Neodiprion lecontei: one gene and its partners. The protein of the gene in region 3 binds, or shares a complex with, the protein of the main gene of each other region. Links are inferred from orthologs where the notes say so. Each region holds a gene or a part of one and is shown on either strand. Other genes may lie near its edges.

Region 1 (6,408 bases), on a different chromosome or scaffold from region 3:
CTAGAAATGAAAAACATGAATTTTGTAAAACTTATTATAAGCTATTTGCAATTTATTTTATCAAGTCCTCCTTTTATTTATAATATCTTCGAAGTACGTTATCTCAACTTCTTTAATTATAAATTCTTTGATCGTGATCGAAAACGGTGTAAGCGTCTAAGTACTTATAAATATCATTTTGAAATAACAACTTGGACATAATTGTATCTGTACATACATACCTTTCTAAAACCTTTGCAGTAGTTTTGCGCTGATGATCTTGACTCTGATTTGATTAAAATTTCACATCAGGAATTCAGTATAAACCAATTGTGTTTTCGATCGATTTATATTTTAGTTTATAATGTAACAATGAAAATAGAAAAAAGAAACTGCCATAAACTTTACTCTTCTTTTCGGGCTACACTATTTTTCATTCAAATTCATTCCAACTTGGAATTTTACCTGATATCCCGTACGAATCGATGAACAGATCGAATAATTCTCTTTATCCGTTCGAGTAAATAAACAGGTAAATGAAGTAACTCAGGTATGCAATGATTGTATTAATAATTATTTATTTACAAGTTGAACAAACAATCGATTGGTCATGCTTAAAATGAAGTTGCTATATTTTAGAAGTTTTTGCCTTATCACTTAACTATAAAGACTAATGTTTCTAGATTCCTGGGATTTCCTATAGACTTTAAAAACCAGCAACTAACTGTTGCAGATCGAAAACAAGAAAGTAATTAATTATAGATTATCTGGAAACAGTGCTCGGCAGATTTTTAATGGTATTTTATAAAACAAATTAGTCCGTTTGAACTTTTGTACAGTAAATAAGTAAAAGTTTTTTTTTGTTCTTTTCAATATCAATAGTCATCAAATTAGAATAAGCTCGTCTTTGTCGCTTAGCTGTGCGGTTAAACTGAATGCGGTATCTGTGCTGGCCTCACTGTTTAAGCTATCGTTGAACGCTACTTTTTTACCCGCCGCATCGTTCATCTCTCTCATTAATCCTGCCATATCGTCATCTGGGTCTATTTCTTGAGTTTCTCCAACTACGTCTATCTCCATCGACTGGTTATCCAATACTGAAGCTTCCTTTATAACGGGTTTCGCTTCTTCGAACTGAGTGGAAATAGAAAACGTGTTTTTAATTACAACTGTACATATTATTACATCATTGTTTTGTTATCGATTATACAAATGTGTGCATTAATTATTTTTGATTCATGCGATGAAAAGATCACACATCTTACCACCATAGATTCAAGTTTTAAAGGCGGCGGTAAATTCATGTGAAAGACGCACGACGAATCGAAAACGACTGGGACAGGCTCGTGGCATTCTATATCAGCTCTAACAGCTCCACAGGCTTTGAACAATACTTGATGCTGATCCTGCATGTTAAGAAGAATTACTAAATTAACGATCAATTGTCGAATTAACATTAATTCACCTTTAGTATATGTTTACGGCAATGTCTTGCTGCCGGTAGCGTTCTTTCCCCACACTTCACTCCGCCTTCGGTGAAAATGCATTTCGTAACGTTGGGAGGCTTCTGCGCTGGACCCTCGGTTGCCTGCTAGATGAAAATTATGTTAAATACATTTGCTATATGCTAAACTTTATGTTGTAAAAGTTTCAATTTTTTCACTTTGAGTTGTGAGTAAATGTTGAAAAATATATTTCCTTTCAATCAATGATGATGACGAAATTTTAATATATGAATTGTTTTTTATACCTGAGCTCGCCTCTCCAATGATTTTTTGTAAAGGATAGCTTCGACGCCACTCCGCCTGTGGTAAGAGTTCAGGGCTTTTAATTTATCATAAATCTTTTTTTCCTTAGCGGTTTCTTTCGGCTGATCGTGAATGCTACCTGTGTTTTAAAATTAATCGAACAATAAATATTAGTTAAAAATTACATTGCTGCTGGTCGATCTAAGCTCGCCAGACTTACAGGTTGTTTCTTTTTCCTTTTTCACTGTGTGCAGGTACTTTCGACGTTTTTCTTTGAATATATGATGCAGCCTTCTGAATTGGTCAATGTAGAGCGATTGGAGCCTGATGAGCTTTTCCCTTGCTATGTATATCACCTCTTCGGCGGTGAAGATTCCGGCGTGCCTTAAAAAATTAATACTAATGATTCAATAGATAAAAAGTGTCTCTGTCACGCTGGAAGCAGCTACTACAGAAAAGAAGATTTAGGGTACCTCATTGGGCAAATACTCGAAATGGAAATAAAATTATCGTGGAAGAAAAGTTGATCACTGTTCGTTTGTGGAGTTTGTAAAAATATCTAAAGGGGACTAGATATCGCTACAAATCATTAAATTCTTTTTCCTCCTATTCCAGAGTTGAAGCGTTTCCATCTCACACTGTCACCTGAAAGAAGTCTGAAAGAAAAAATAATTTTCCGCCAACGACCATGATGTCAAAGGTTCAGCCTGTTGGTCTGGCAGGTCAAAGTTACTATACACGGTAAGTGAAGCATGCAACAAATTCATGCTGGAATTTCTAAAAGTAGGTGTTTTCTTAAAAACAATGAGAGAACTCTGCAAGAGGATAATTGAAAATAAAAAAAATGCTAAAATTCTCTTCCCAGCAAAGATTTGTAGATGCAGAGTATTTTCTTGACTTTCAGTTTTCCCAGCTCTGTGATATCACGAGCAATCCACCATTGGGTAAATGTTAAGCTTATGATTGTCTCTCAGGGTTAAATCAACATCCAGTTAGAACAATAAAAATGAAGGTAAGTAACTATTTTGGTATTTAGTCCCCTTATTTAGTAATGCACAAGCAAAAGCAAGCTAGCGTTACAATACGTAATATAAAATTCAAACCTTACTTATAATTAATCTTCTAAAAATATGTGGTCACATTATTTAATAGGTACATATTTTTAAACAACTCTCAAAGCGTATGACGGTATTTCACATAGATTACAGGCAATTTGTTGGAAAGTTCCCTCAATAGTCAAATGCAAAATTTTACGATCAGACGAATCATCATTTTTAGATAAAAATATAGAATTTTGAACATTCATTCCCCTTTAATGCCGTAAGCACCTGAAATTTGAACCCTTTATATTCGCGGAATGTCTAATATTTTCCGAATAGTTTAAGGCTCTCAAAAATGATTCTAAAAAATTCTGTGATCATTTCATGAATCCATAACTTTAAAGTAGATTGAAAACTTCGTATCCCTGCAAATAATTTGAATAGAAATGAGAAGCTCAAATTTATAATTTGCATGTGAGATACTTGCATCAGAGCCAATAATTCCAATTTCAATTGCTGCGATATTTGAGTTGCAGGACAGTATACGTGTAAACAATGAATTATCCAAGCCGAGTTCTTGTGCAGAGTGTCAAAGATCCGACATACTTAAGTGGGTCCTCCTGCGAACTTTGGAGGCTTTCGTCTTCGCTATCGTCGAGGAATGCACCACGTAAAGTTTCGCTGACAACTACAGGTTCGACATCGCTATCCGAAGAGCTTGCGTAGTCAAGGACATCACAACCACTGGCATTTATTCTATAGGCATCAATTTCAGCTGAAAAATAGAACACACCTAATGAACAACCACGAAAAAGCTGAAGCAGCGATAATGTTAAAAAAAAATTAAAGGTGTTATATCTCTAGAAAAGATGGGCCCTCACCAAAAGGATCCAGAACCTTCACCTTTCCTTCTTCTTCCTCCGTATCCTCCGCACTAGAATCTGTTGGCTTAACATAGTGGCTTAGATTAAGAAGCAGAGTTTCCGGGGTCTGCGGTGGCGAATGCCGCGATGTGGACTTGATGCGAGCTAACTGTGCCCTTCTCGCATGATCTGAACAGTACCTGAAAAGCGAAGGACCGTACAGAACTTCTCTTGTGAAGCCATTCATCGTCGTTTCAAGGTATGAAGTTGATTTCAATTTAAATAAATTCAAACTGAATAAACATTCATTGCTCCACTTACGCAAGATCTCTTCGATCACCTTTCAATGCCGGGTTCTGGCACTTACGGCCATTACTGTTGTAGACAAAACTGCATTGCTTGTAAGGTGCAGAACTATCCTCTAAAATATGTCTGGAGCAATAGGCGTAGCCCGCAAGGCTCTGTTGTTTGCATTCGTATGATCCGTAAGAACAACTTTGACTTTCAGATGAACTCTTTCCAGGTCCAATTCGGGTTGCAGTTGCGTTTGGCACACGAAACATTGCTTCTGGAAATAACGGTGAATATAAAAAATTAACCTTAAAAACCAGGTGACTACAAAAAAAATATTGAGGCTTCAGTACTAAGTTCAATTCAATTGAATTGGATCAGAGAAATTTTTGTTCCATGTTGTGATTCGGTGGAATTAGGCAAAACACATACTTTTTGGCATTGTGAGAAGTGGTGAAAGAGTGCAATTGCGCTAAACTTGCTAATAATCGAGCTCCATCAGTATGAATTCTCCGATTTTTGACGTTTCTCTACATTTGAGGAAGCATTCCTTTGACCAATATTCAACTCTATTGCCACCCGTTTTTCACAATTCGTTCGTTTTGATATTTTTTACAATGAATTGCGCGTTTGATTTTTACTTGAAGATTACCAAAAACCAAATGACGCAAGGCGCTATTCATCCGTATTCAAACTTGCCGCCATTAATATCGATCGCATAATAATGGCGGCGATGTATCGATATTATGACACTAAATGCATGTGCATGTATACTGTATTAAAATAATTTTACGTTATTGATGAATTTGAGAATGCGGGGAGAATTTTAAGGTGATGAACAGATTTATAAAATGGTATAAGTCAATTCGACGACTTCGGATGGAATTTTCGGGTCAAGTAACGCGGTCGAGAGGCGTCGACAACGGATCCGATTAACGGGTTTTGCCGTCGCCATTTTGTTACTGTCGAGATCACTGCGCAGAAGGTTCGCTGCGTACGTATGTACGGTACATACAACGTGTCGAATGTAGTATGTAATTTCCGAAAAAAGCATTAAAACAATGATATCGTTATTCGGAGACGATTGAACGGACTCGGCTCGGTTGGTACTCGATTTTACGAGGAGCAAGGCTCGGCGTGAAGCTGAAATACTCACAACGAACGGTCCCACCGCTGCGACACTGTTGACGGAGTTACAGCGAAAGAAAAACTTTTCCTCGAAGGTCAGCAACGGCCCGTCGAACAGTCTTGCTACAGTTTATACACACGGATGATAACGATGCGACAATAATAACATGCCAGACACACCGGAGACGACATCCTAACCAACAATCCTCCGCCCTCGTCAAATCGCGAAAGCACGCAGCCGACTAAGGGTCCGTTACATAACGGGATCGATCGTTGATGTTTAACAACAGGCCAAGAAGACTGCGAGGACCTCGATCGGGAGATAAACAATCTCTAAGGAGTTGGAAAGGACCAATACAACAAGGTTAGGTTAAGTGCTTCCGATACGATACAGGAGCAAATTACGTCTCCGAAGCTTCGTCCATAAAGTATTCGAACGGCCATAGACCGACGCCTCTCGTCGGCAAAATTGACTCATTGTGTGCTGCCGCGTCACTTGGCACTAAAATCCACAGTCGCGTGGCGCTAGTAACGGGGAAAACATGACCATGGTTGCGTTCCGATTTTGCTCCTGGCGCTGTCAACCATATTTTATCTCTTTTGCGCTGCAGAGTTTGTAAGTAGCTCTCTCCGTTCTAGAGAGTTTTTAGCGCCGCCAGTTAATTTCGAGACGCATCCTATGACGCGCGAGTAAGTGGCAAAAATCACATTTATTATTGCGCTGTGAAAAATTTGTCGAAAATTGATCATCACCTCGGTGAATATACGAAGTATGTACATGTGGGATTAAATTTGAAGGTGTGAATTGCTCTTCGATGGTGCTCTGAGACGATCTTGGAATCGCGGTTTTGAAACTCCATCCTTGTGGTTCGCTTACTTCCGGTTTCCGTGACGTGAAGCTATCTCCTGGCGGGTGGCGGCCGTGATCGCAACCTCGGGAACCTTGAACAACGTGAAGTGCGAAGCCGAGCCTGGGTTTCTGCGTATACGCCAGAAGTGTACATATAAATGGCGGCTGACGAAAAATGGTACTTTACGAAGGAACAATTAGCAACAACCCCGAGCAGAAGATGCGGTTTCGACGCAGATAAAGAGCTAAGTTATCGTCAGCAGGCAGCAAATTTTATACAAGATATGGGACAACGGCTTTCTGTGTATCCTTTTTTAACCTTCGCATTTACCTATCTAAAACGACGCACGCGACATTTCCGCGAATCCAGCGTGCCGCCTTATATCATCGTCTATTGAGTCGCTTCCTAGTTATTCAAAAACCTTCTTCATTTCTCCTATTTTCCTTGTCATCGTCTTCCCGTTTCCTGGACCCTCCGCGCGTTTGGCGTCCCAAACTAGTGTGAGTCA
Region 2 (4,567 bases), on a different chromosome or scaffold from region 3:
TGGAGATATTGGATCGTCGACTAAACCAGAAACGTACTGCGTGTCAGTCGCGATGAGATTCTAGACCTCGTTTACCATTTTACTTTTAACGCCGTACGTGGGTGCAGTTATCTATGGATTGATAATGACGATAGAAGAAAAAAAACTATTTAAATGTCACTGTGTATAGTAATCGTATACACGGGTAATAAACTAATACCAACAGGAACTTAGCCTTTTAGTCTCACGGTTGTCGCAAACTCGATCCTGAAATCATCTTGATCCTACAGTGAGGGAGAAAACAAACCAGCAAACTACTCTTTAACTGTCCGATTGGGCGATGGTTGTATTAAAAAAATGTACATAATAAAATAAAATTTTGCCTTGCGACAAACAGTTCAGCTCAATTAGAACATTAATAAAGCGATTTCGAAAATTGTGACGAATGATTGGGATGGGAAAATAACTGTTCAAATCTAAATTTTCCGAATAGTATAGCAATCGTTTATAAATAATTTATAAAGAAATATATATATATATATTTTTTTTTATCATATCGTTTCCATCATTTTTAATAACGAGATGACATTTTACCGATATGTGATTAATGAATGCTATGTGATCAAGACTGCATTGTCCGTTTGTTGCAGCAAATTGATCAACGATATTAAGGGATAGTAATGGCCCAGTTATCACGAAAAACTTAATTTACTAACACAAAGTCATAATATTACAAATATCTTACAGTGCATCCCTACAAAGAATCAATAATAATAATCGTAACAATAGGCGAGTTGAGATCTAGGTAATGACTAATGAAAAAAAAATCAAATAGACAACGACACACTCGTAGTCGTGCTTAAAAATTGATACCCTCTGGCAAGGTTCCCTCCTCGCGTCTCTTCTCAACAGTTTTGAAATACTCTGAAAAGTCGACGTACGGTTTGATTTTAGTATCTCTGTTCACAGGCTTTCCACCCGGTGGGTACATGTCTGAAGTGGTCGAAGTTTCAGTCGTTGATGTATCACAGTTTTGTTGATCGGACGTATTTGTTCCGCTGCTCGAATAGTAGTCATTGTCCATTCGCGATGGTACGGGCACAGTTTGCACGTCGGGATTAAACCTCACCGACTGAATAGTAGGGCTTTTTAGGACGTTGGGCAAAGGAAAGTTAAAGTTTCTCACTAACAATGTTATGTCGTCTCTTTTTCCAGTAGTCAATGTATTCTGGGAATTGCTCATGTTGACGTCATGATGTATCCTCACTATTTTATCCACTACTGCCTGCGCCACTCCCGTCAATGTCGACTGTACCCTAAACTGGAGACAAAAAGTACTCGTGAATCACTTTCGCTTGACCAGACTCGAACAAACATCTTCCCGTTGTTCATAAACGTACCTGTTCGACGGCCATTTGGGCCAACTCTTTGTTGACCTGATCAGTTCCGGTCGCTTCCTCCAGCGATTTGTAGAGACCTCTCGACATGAGTAGCAAAAATCTACACGAATCGTCGAGTTCTATACCACCGTGTATCTCCGGCTCTGCTATTATTGGCTCTGTGCTCGCCGATGCCAATTCCTCAAATTCCCTGTATCCCCCTTTGACTAGGTAATTGCCAAGGCATCTCGTGTTTTCCTGGTTTCCAAGGTGTGAACCTAGAGAAGCACAGTTACGGTTACAGCGCAAGCTGATGTGTCAAAGAAAAATATTTGGGGGGTGGGGATTCTCTAAATTGTCTTGTTTTGTACTCATTTCGCCCTATTACGGTAACTTATTGTTATAGAGACCTTGTTTAACAGAGTCAATGTCCAATCCAAGCTGAGACAGCCTCAACAGCTCATCCTCGTTCCTCAGATCGTGATCTACACTTAATTGCACGACTCTCAAGACCTGATTGCTGTCAGTTCTGCAGAGTAATGCTCTACTGTCTCCGACGTTTGCTACGTATAAGCGTCCGCCGTAAACTAAGGCTACCACCGCGCTTGTTCCAGCCGACAATTCGCTGTTCAAAGAACTCAACTTGTCCACCTAAAAAGAAAGAAAAATAACAATTGTTACACACGATCACAGTAGATTTATTACAACGTTTGTTTCATATGTCGTAAAACAAAAAAACAAGTACCAAGTATGGAAATTTTTGGTAAGTTTCATACGAATTCAGCCCATCCGGTATGTCGAATTGCAGACTAGCCCGTTCTGCCAGAATATCTCCAATAGAGTCTAGATATCCACGTTCCACGGTAATGAAAGCTTGCCTGAGAAAAGAAGCGACGACAATATTAGTCCTAGGTTTGATTTACCTTTCCAAGAATATAGGAAATTACTTACCTTAATACTTCTTTAACTTCCTCGTCGGTCGATTTGCCACTGAGCTGTCCTAAGAGAATTTCAGCTGCCATACGCTGAAGCGCGAAAGTAGCCGCCTTCGTTCCCTCGTGTCCATCGAAAACTCCGTATAAAAAAGTCGAGTCGTCGTACCGACAGTGAAAACTACGGTCTTCGAACGGATGATCCTCCTGCCGGCCACCATCCTCCCTATATATTTGATTCGTTGAAAACCCCACACCTATGGAATCGCCATCAAAATTTTCACCCATTTTCAATTAGAAATTGATTCGAGCGTTTTTCATCAAACATTTTGGACTTCTGTTATTTTTGAGTAGTCTTCAGTTAGGCTAGACTAGGTTAGGACTTGTTGGAATTGTCAATCGTCTACCTGACTGTTTGCAAACGGGCAAGTCGTCGGTCCAACTATGCTGGGCGTCTTGATACGTTAGCAAATTAGGCCTCTCTGCTCTGGTCGGCATCTCGACAATTTTATTCTACAATCACTACGCGTTTCCTACCCACGGAGATTGACGCGTACCTCCATTTCCCATTACGATAGCATTATGAACTATGCATTGCATGCCTTTCGAGATGAGTCAGGTGGGCGAATTCTGCCAGCGAATGAAAATCACTCGATCAAACACAGATTGCGCACGCAGCTTATCGAGCGATCGGATCAAATGAAAGAAAAAAGTAACGATAATGAACGTGATCGTGGGTCGAGAGAATCGGTACGTTTCAAATGATGTGCAGCTATATTGTTTTATACGTTACAATTTATCAGTAGTATTGAATGTACGATAATTCTGTCTTTTACTTCGCAACTCGCAGCTAAAACGGCATATCTGTGATACCGGACCTAAACCTGGAAAAATCAGCTCGGTGAGATGGCAAATTGCAACTCCGGTTGTCTATCTGTAGGTGCAGAGATGACTTTTTATGTCGAAGCCCGCGGTACGTAGTTATTTCCATCTCAACGATTCTGAAGTTTCGCTTACAATTCGAACGAAATACATTGATCAGAAATTTTCCACGGACTGCATGCGCGTTGACTAGACATTTACTGACAGTTTCATCGAAGCCAGTTGTAACTGTCACGCTACGGGTAATTCGATTTTAGTCATTTGAGCATGGTTTCAACTTCCCCGATGACGTCAACGCCGTCCAACTTGTCCAGGCGACGCGCGAGGTCGCCTTTGATCAATCCTTTGAACCCCTGTTTGTCAACCCCTTCCAGGAACCTGGAACCCGACGTCGGTATCATTACTCTTGTATTCCGATGCTGCATCCGGTGTATCCGATTCATCCACATTTACCACCGTGTAATCAAAATTTCTCACTTTTCCAAATCGTGTAACCGTTCTATATCTTTCTTGATCCTCTGGACCTGCTCCATGCGAGAGACGTTCAAAAAATTGACCAATTCCTCGGTACCCATGTCGGTTAAAGGTACGTCTGAAAATGTTCGATAAGGAGGCAGCTGAGTTTATCATCTTTTTGAAAATAAAGATAAATTCGGGTCTACCTCCGAAGACCGATCTTCTCATTCTCTTATCGTGAGTATGATCTAGACGGATTTAGAGCATCTGCCGTATATTTTTCAACTCACCTTATCTCAATAGGTGAGTCTTACGGAAAAACTAGCTAATTTGTTATTCTGTTAAACCAGGAACCCTGGTGAAAAAACCCCTGGTACAAATAATTCTACGAATTTCTATGGAAATATCTACGAAGTTTTACGGCAATTTCTATGCAAAGGTACAGGATTTGGGTGAATTCGTAGTTTTTCTTAATAATAATAATCTACGAAAAACTGTACGAATCGTTACGATATCTCGAGTTCAAAAACTATGGATCGACCCAAATCCTGTACTTTTGCATAGAAATTTGCGTAAAACTTCGTAGATATTTTCACGGAAATTAATAGAATTATTTTCACCAGGATATAAGTATATCCATGCTAGAACACACGCCTGGTTCATTCCCTTGAAACAATACCCGGTGGTGAGTTGTCCGGGGTCAGGAGTGTCGTGATATCGGGCGTCGAGGCGACCGCGTCGTCGGGGATCGTCACCGGCACTCCGGCTCTGTATATCTGCTCTAACGGGGTTTGCTCCGTGTACGGAGTCGGCCCTCGGGACATCATCTCGTTGTAGGTCAGACTGACATTACCGCCCTTCTCGACCGATGGAGAACTACCGCCGGACTCGACGTTCCTATTATTATCTTCTCGCGGTCGAACGGAGGGCGATGACGAT
Region 3 (4,543 bases):
TATGGATGTAAGAAAGCGCTGTACAAAAAAAAAAAAGAAAAAAACAGAAATTGTAGGAACAAACATTCAGGAAAAACTTACATACTACACGCGCGCTGCTGATCCTGTTTCATGCTACACATCGATTTGACTATTTTCAGATAGGAAATTACTTTACACATTGTGACAACTTGCATGTAGCAAGTGTTTAGGAAAAAAAAAAAATCTTTTAGTGGCATGATGAATATTGTCAGGATCAACAAAGAGGTATTTGAAATCAATTGTTGTAGCACCATTTAGAGTGATCGTAATTAATGGCGTTGCATCAATTCGCGCATTGTTGACGTTGTTTCCGCGCCTCCTCCAACAACTTCACAAACCTAAACCCATTAACCATGTCTGACACAAATTTTACCACCGCTTTTTTCGGGACTTGCAAGTTTGAAACATTTGTTGAATATAATGAAAAATTGAAAAAAAGTTTTTGCCAACGAACAGGCGTCAAACATGGTAAACCCAAAATTCCCAAAAGCAAGAGTACACAACAATATTTCGTCTGCAATCAAAACGTTAAATGCTGAAACAAGAGAATGGAAAATGTAAACATGTTTTTATTTTGATGGCAGATCGCGCGCCGCGCAGCAGCTTTTCTTTATAATATCGTTATTGTGGCAAAGAAAGACAGCTTTCTGCATGAGCTAAATATACACAAACATTCGCTCTACACATTCCTCAGAACTACACTAACCAGGAGACACGAGACACCTATATGCCTTTGTACGAGTTTGAAGTTCCGAAAATTGAAAAAAAAAACACGCGTTAATTTCTATATTTAACAGCTTCTAAGTTTATAGGAATCTTACTCCGAAGTAACAAATAGAAAATGCCTGCTTCTGCTAGTCGGAAAACGGTTTCAACAACGCATTTTAAACTCACGAGAATTAATTATTCGTAGCGATACTTTGATCATCGTAAAACGACTTCAAGTGTAGTTTTACGCACTATTCAACAGTGGTACAAAAACATATAGGATGTAGCGTGTAGGATTAGTGTCTAAACTTACACAGGGTTTGAACGTCAACTTACCTTGGCCTCATCAAGCCTTGCTAATGCTTTCAAAAGATTACCAAGATCGCTGCGCACACAGTAGAGATCCTGTAACAAATTGCATACCATGTGTTAGACAAAACTGGCCTCGAATACCGTAAGATTTATATTATTAACAAATTTCTTTTCAATGTATTCGAACACAGCAGCAGGTATTCAAGTTCTCTTTCTTCAATCATACAAGAATGACTTATTGAGTCGTAAGAAACTTTCAGTTAATTCGAGCACAACAAATCACAGAAAAACCATTCAAATTAATCAACGATAATCCACTTACGGGATTGTATTGCAGAGCGGTAACGTAGGCCTGGACCGCTTGTTCCATATCACCGGCAGCGACCAATGCAGCTGCGAGATTGATGTACCCATCGATGAAGTCGGGCTTGAGCCTGACAGCATGACGATAATTTTCCAAAGCCTCTTGTAGCTGGCCACGCTCTTTGAAAACGTTACCCAAGTTGCTGTACGCCTCCGCGAGTAACGGATTTTGCTTTATAGCCAGTGAGCTGAAGTGTGCAGACCTTAAAAGAAAAGGTCTCAGGTTAATAAAAAAAAAAAACGCATTTACAAGTCGGCCGTCAACAATGAATATACAATTCTCTTTGGATATGAATTCTAATTTCCTTCAACTACACCGAGTAGTATAATATTTTCCAAAATATTTATTTGCATAAAACATACTTATCGAGCCTTCGACATTGGAAGTGAATAGAAGACAGGAGAAGAAGAACGCCAGTGTTGTTGGTCTCTTGCCTCCATAACTGCATGCAATGTCTTTCCGCATTTTCGTAATCTCCTGCCTGGTACTCTCTATGCGCCAATTCCAACAACCCTGTAATGAGAAAAGAGAAAGCATGAATATGAATTGACCAGAATAAAAGTCGACGAAATTTCATTGTAGTTCGGAATACTATAGTCGCTAACTTTTTAGTAAGTTATCTAAAAACTTTTGCAAATCTTTCATCAAACGTAGGAAGAAAAAGTTCCACTGTATTTCTTGGCAGAGAAAATATTTTCGAGTAATTTAAAAATTATTCTTAAACCCCTGAGCAGGATAATCTTAGAACGGAAATATCTGGACAGAAACGATTCGTTAGGTTCACTTGGAGAGAGGTTACAATTTCTTATTTTTTTTTTTTCTCTGCTACAAGGAATCGGAGCGTGAATAATTTCCACCGAGACAAACTGTTACTTGAAATCTGAGTTCATTTAATCGCATCTACACATTTTTTTATTCAAAATTTTAATCAACTGTGAGGTGACCGGAAAAGTGAAAGAAAAGAGGGTACAGGATAAAATTTGTGGAATAAATCTCCATCGATAAAATTGATGAAAAGTAAGAATTTCTATAACCAGTACTGTAAATATTATCGGACACTGAAAGGTGATGTCGAATCTATAGCGACTACAAAAAAAAGAGGCAGTTTGAAAGCGACGGATATAAGGATGAGAAAAAAAAAAAACGAGGAAATGGAATACGAACAATACGAATCTAGGGTGAGGTTAACAATCGTTTGTTCGTCAGCGACGGCAAGAACCTCCTTGCCTTGTGCGTCCTGCGTAACGACCAACATGTTCTGGCCGTTTTGAAGAGTGTGAATACTTTGTAGAGTACCGCTATCGGGGTTAATCACAAGGCTGTTAACGGCCGTAACACCCTTCGGATCGTTGTTTACGTTGCCGCGATTTTGCACCTGGCTGCTCATCATATTTAACCGCGCTCGAGGATGATTCTCTTTATCTACTTAATCAGTTTTATTAATTATCTTTTTATCAAAAATCCGGCACGCGAGAAAAACGAGCGAGAAACAACGAAGACGCGCGACGTGAAACACACCGTGAAACAAGTTCGACGTCAATCTCGGGATAACTTCACACCGCGTATTTAATTCCGGACTCGACGTTCTCCGTCTGTAAGCCGCTTGATGCTAGCTGGCCTCTGTGCGATGGGGGCCAAAGCCCAAAGTAGGGGTGAGCAAGGTGATGGGATTGGAAGGAGGGGAGGACGGAGGAAACAGGGCCGAACCTACACGTCGAGGCGGTTGGTGTTCGCCGGCAAACGCAGAAAGCAAATGAAAATTAAATCTCCTTGCCGATAACGAGTACTCGTAATGATGATCCGAAGACGAATTTTATTTTCTCTTACAAAGAGACGTTAGAGGTACGTACATTCGTACAAACTTGATAAGATCTTGTTAGCAAAGCATGAAAAGAAAAAAAACAAGTAGGATGTACCTATATCTCTTACCGAAATCCCCCTGCATTTCGGCAATTGATAGTACGTCATTTGTCTCGTCGTTCACCCGTAAAATTCATCGTATTGAAGTTAGTAACGTTATCGAAACGCGATTTGTGACGAGGAAAAACCGTTATTTCGAAATTTTGGAACTCTTTGAAAATCAGTAAACCGCTATAAAATGAAATGAACTCATATTTTTCAATCCTGGTTCCTTAAAAATCATTGTAAAAATAAGAAAATAGTGATTTTTTTCTCAACGTTTCGTTACGATGACTTTACTAACTTCAACCTCGTTAAAATTACTGTTCAATTGCTGTTCCTACGTAACGTATACAGACTTCGGGCAAACAACGATTATGCAATTTCGTGTAAGACGCGTTGCAAGTACGTAATATAAATTTCCAACAAAAAGTGTTCCGACCTATGGTGCTCGAAATCATGATACTTTGCTGGCGGTGAGGGGAAGAGGGGTTAACCCGACGAAAGGACGAGGGGACCCTGCCCCCCTTTCGCCGCGCTGCCGGGGCCGGTGAGCAGATGGCATAGTCGGTGGAGTACGCAGTGGAATATTCCATCGGTTTTGACAGTGGCGACGGGTTGCGAGCAGCCAACCGTTTCGCTCGGTCGCACGGCTAGGAAGGGAGGGAGAAGTTTCACTGGCGAGGGGAATAGCGGAAAAAAACCAAGAAACTAAAATAAAAAGACGAAAAAAGAAAACATCAACTTGCGACAAGGAACAAAGAGATTTCCGATCAAGGAAACTGCTAACGATAAGAATTAACAAATGAATGTTAGGTATTTCGGAAGGATTTACATTTGGGATGTTCTTACAGCGAAGAAATACAAAACTTGGAATTGCGTTGATTGTAAATATCTACGATTAGGTACTATTTTTATTCGTGAAATTCAAATAATAGTATCATTTTTATTGATATTGTTCATTTTGAACGAGAATTAAGTTTCTCCTCGTGCGAAGACTCGTGTACCTATCTATAGATTTTCGACTGACCACACGTTGTGGTTTTTTTTACATATTTGTCCCTCCGATTATTAGCGAGATTTTAACTAACGACGGATAGCGACGGGTCAACAAACCTCGTGCTGAATTTATACCATTTCTCGTACGAGCATCATGCCGATAAGCCGCAATGACGTTACTCTATGTCAATATCGTGAGCAGCAGGTGACAGATAACCATACGTATCAATGACCATATTG

Evidence for each region.
Region 1: UDP-N-acetylglucosamine--peptide N-acetylglucosaminyltransferase 110 kDa subunit (region 3) and KAT8 regulatory NSL complex subunit 2 share a complex: the UniProt entries of both Homo sapiens proteins name them as parts of the NSL complex. The link is inferred for Neodiprion lecontei from reciprocal best matches to the Homo sapiens genes OGT and KANSL2.
Region 2: the proteins of UDP-N-acetylglucosamine--peptide N-acetylglucosaminyltransferase 110 kDa subunit (region 3) and TGF-beta-activated kinase 1 and MAP3K7-binding protein 1 are in contact, whole or in part, in a crystal structure (PDB 4AY6), measured with the Homo sapiens proteins. The link is inferred for Neodiprion lecontei from reciprocal best matches to the Homo sapiens genes OGT and TAB1. Residues at the interface, in NP_858058.1 of Homo sapiens: Asp441, His506, His508, His509, Asn567, His568, Pro569, Gly641, Tyr642, Thr643, Lys644, Ala646, Gln849, Phe878, Pro904, Val905, Ala906, Pro907; in NP_006107.1 of Homo sapiens: Pro389, Val390, Val392, Pro393, Tyr394, Ser396, Ala397, Gln398, Ser399.

Annotation. Positions count from the first base shown.
Region 1 is NC_060264.1:32,075,409-32,081,816, forward strand, and holds KAT8 regulatory NSL complex subunit 2, read right to left. Parts: upstream 4,663-6,408; 5' UTR 4,364-4,662; coding exon 4,354-4,363; intron 4,199-4,353; coding exon 3,952-4,198; intron 3,831-3,951; coding exon 3,649-3,830; intron 3,543-3,648; coding exon 3,374-3,542; exon of another isoform or gene 3,298-3,373; intron 2,740-3,297; exon of another isoform or gene 2,632-2,739; intron 2,537-2,631; exon of another isoform or gene 2,343-2,536; intron 2,127-2,342; coding exon 1,948-2,126; intron 1,867-1,947; coding exon 1,730-1,866; intron 1,571-1,729; coding exon 1,445-1,570; intron 1,386-1,444; coding exon 1,245-1,385; intron 1,114-1,244; coding exon 865-1,113; 3' UTR 536-864; downstream 1-535. Other genes in the region: cyclin-T, read left to right, coding at 6,058-6,203. UniProt on the Homo sapiens protein: Non-catalytic component of the NSL histone acetyltransferase complex, a multiprotein complex that mediates histone H4 acetylation at 'Lys-5'- and 'Lys-8' (H4K5ac and H4K8ac) at transcription start sites and promotes transcription initiation.
Region 2 is NC_060262.1:385,862-390,428, forward strand, and holds TGF-beta-activated kinase 1 and MAP3K7-binding protein 1, read right to left. Parts: upstream 2,902-4,567; 5' UTR 2,789-2,901; coding exon 2,698-2,788; intron 2,548-2,697; coding exon 2,310-2,547; intron 2,237-2,309; coding exon 2,104-2,236; intron 2,010-2,103; coding exon 1,769-2,009; intron 1,637-1,768; coding exon 1,380-1,636; intron 1,301-1,379; coding exon 839-1,300; 3' UTR 536-838; downstream 1-535. UniProt on the Homo sapiens protein: Key adapter protein that plays an essential role in JNK and NF-kappa-B activation and proinflammatory cytokines production in response to stimulation with TLRs and cytokines.
Region 3 is NC_060261.1:5,988,767-5,993,309, forward strand, and holds the start of UDP-N-acetylglucosamine--peptide N-acetylglucosaminyltransferase 110 kDa subunit, read right to left. Parts: upstream 3,025-4,543; 5' UTR 2,796-3,024; coding exon 2,570-2,795; intron 1,919-2,569; coding exon 1,768-1,918; intron 1,608-1,767; coding exon 1,364-1,607; intron 1,135-1,363; coding exon 1,066-1,134; intron 1-1,065. UniProt on the Homo sapiens protein: Catalyzes the transfer of a single N-acetylglucosamine from UDP-GlcNAc to a serine or threonine residue in cytoplasmic and nuclear proteins resulting in their modification with a beta-linked N-acetylglucosamine (O-GlcNAc).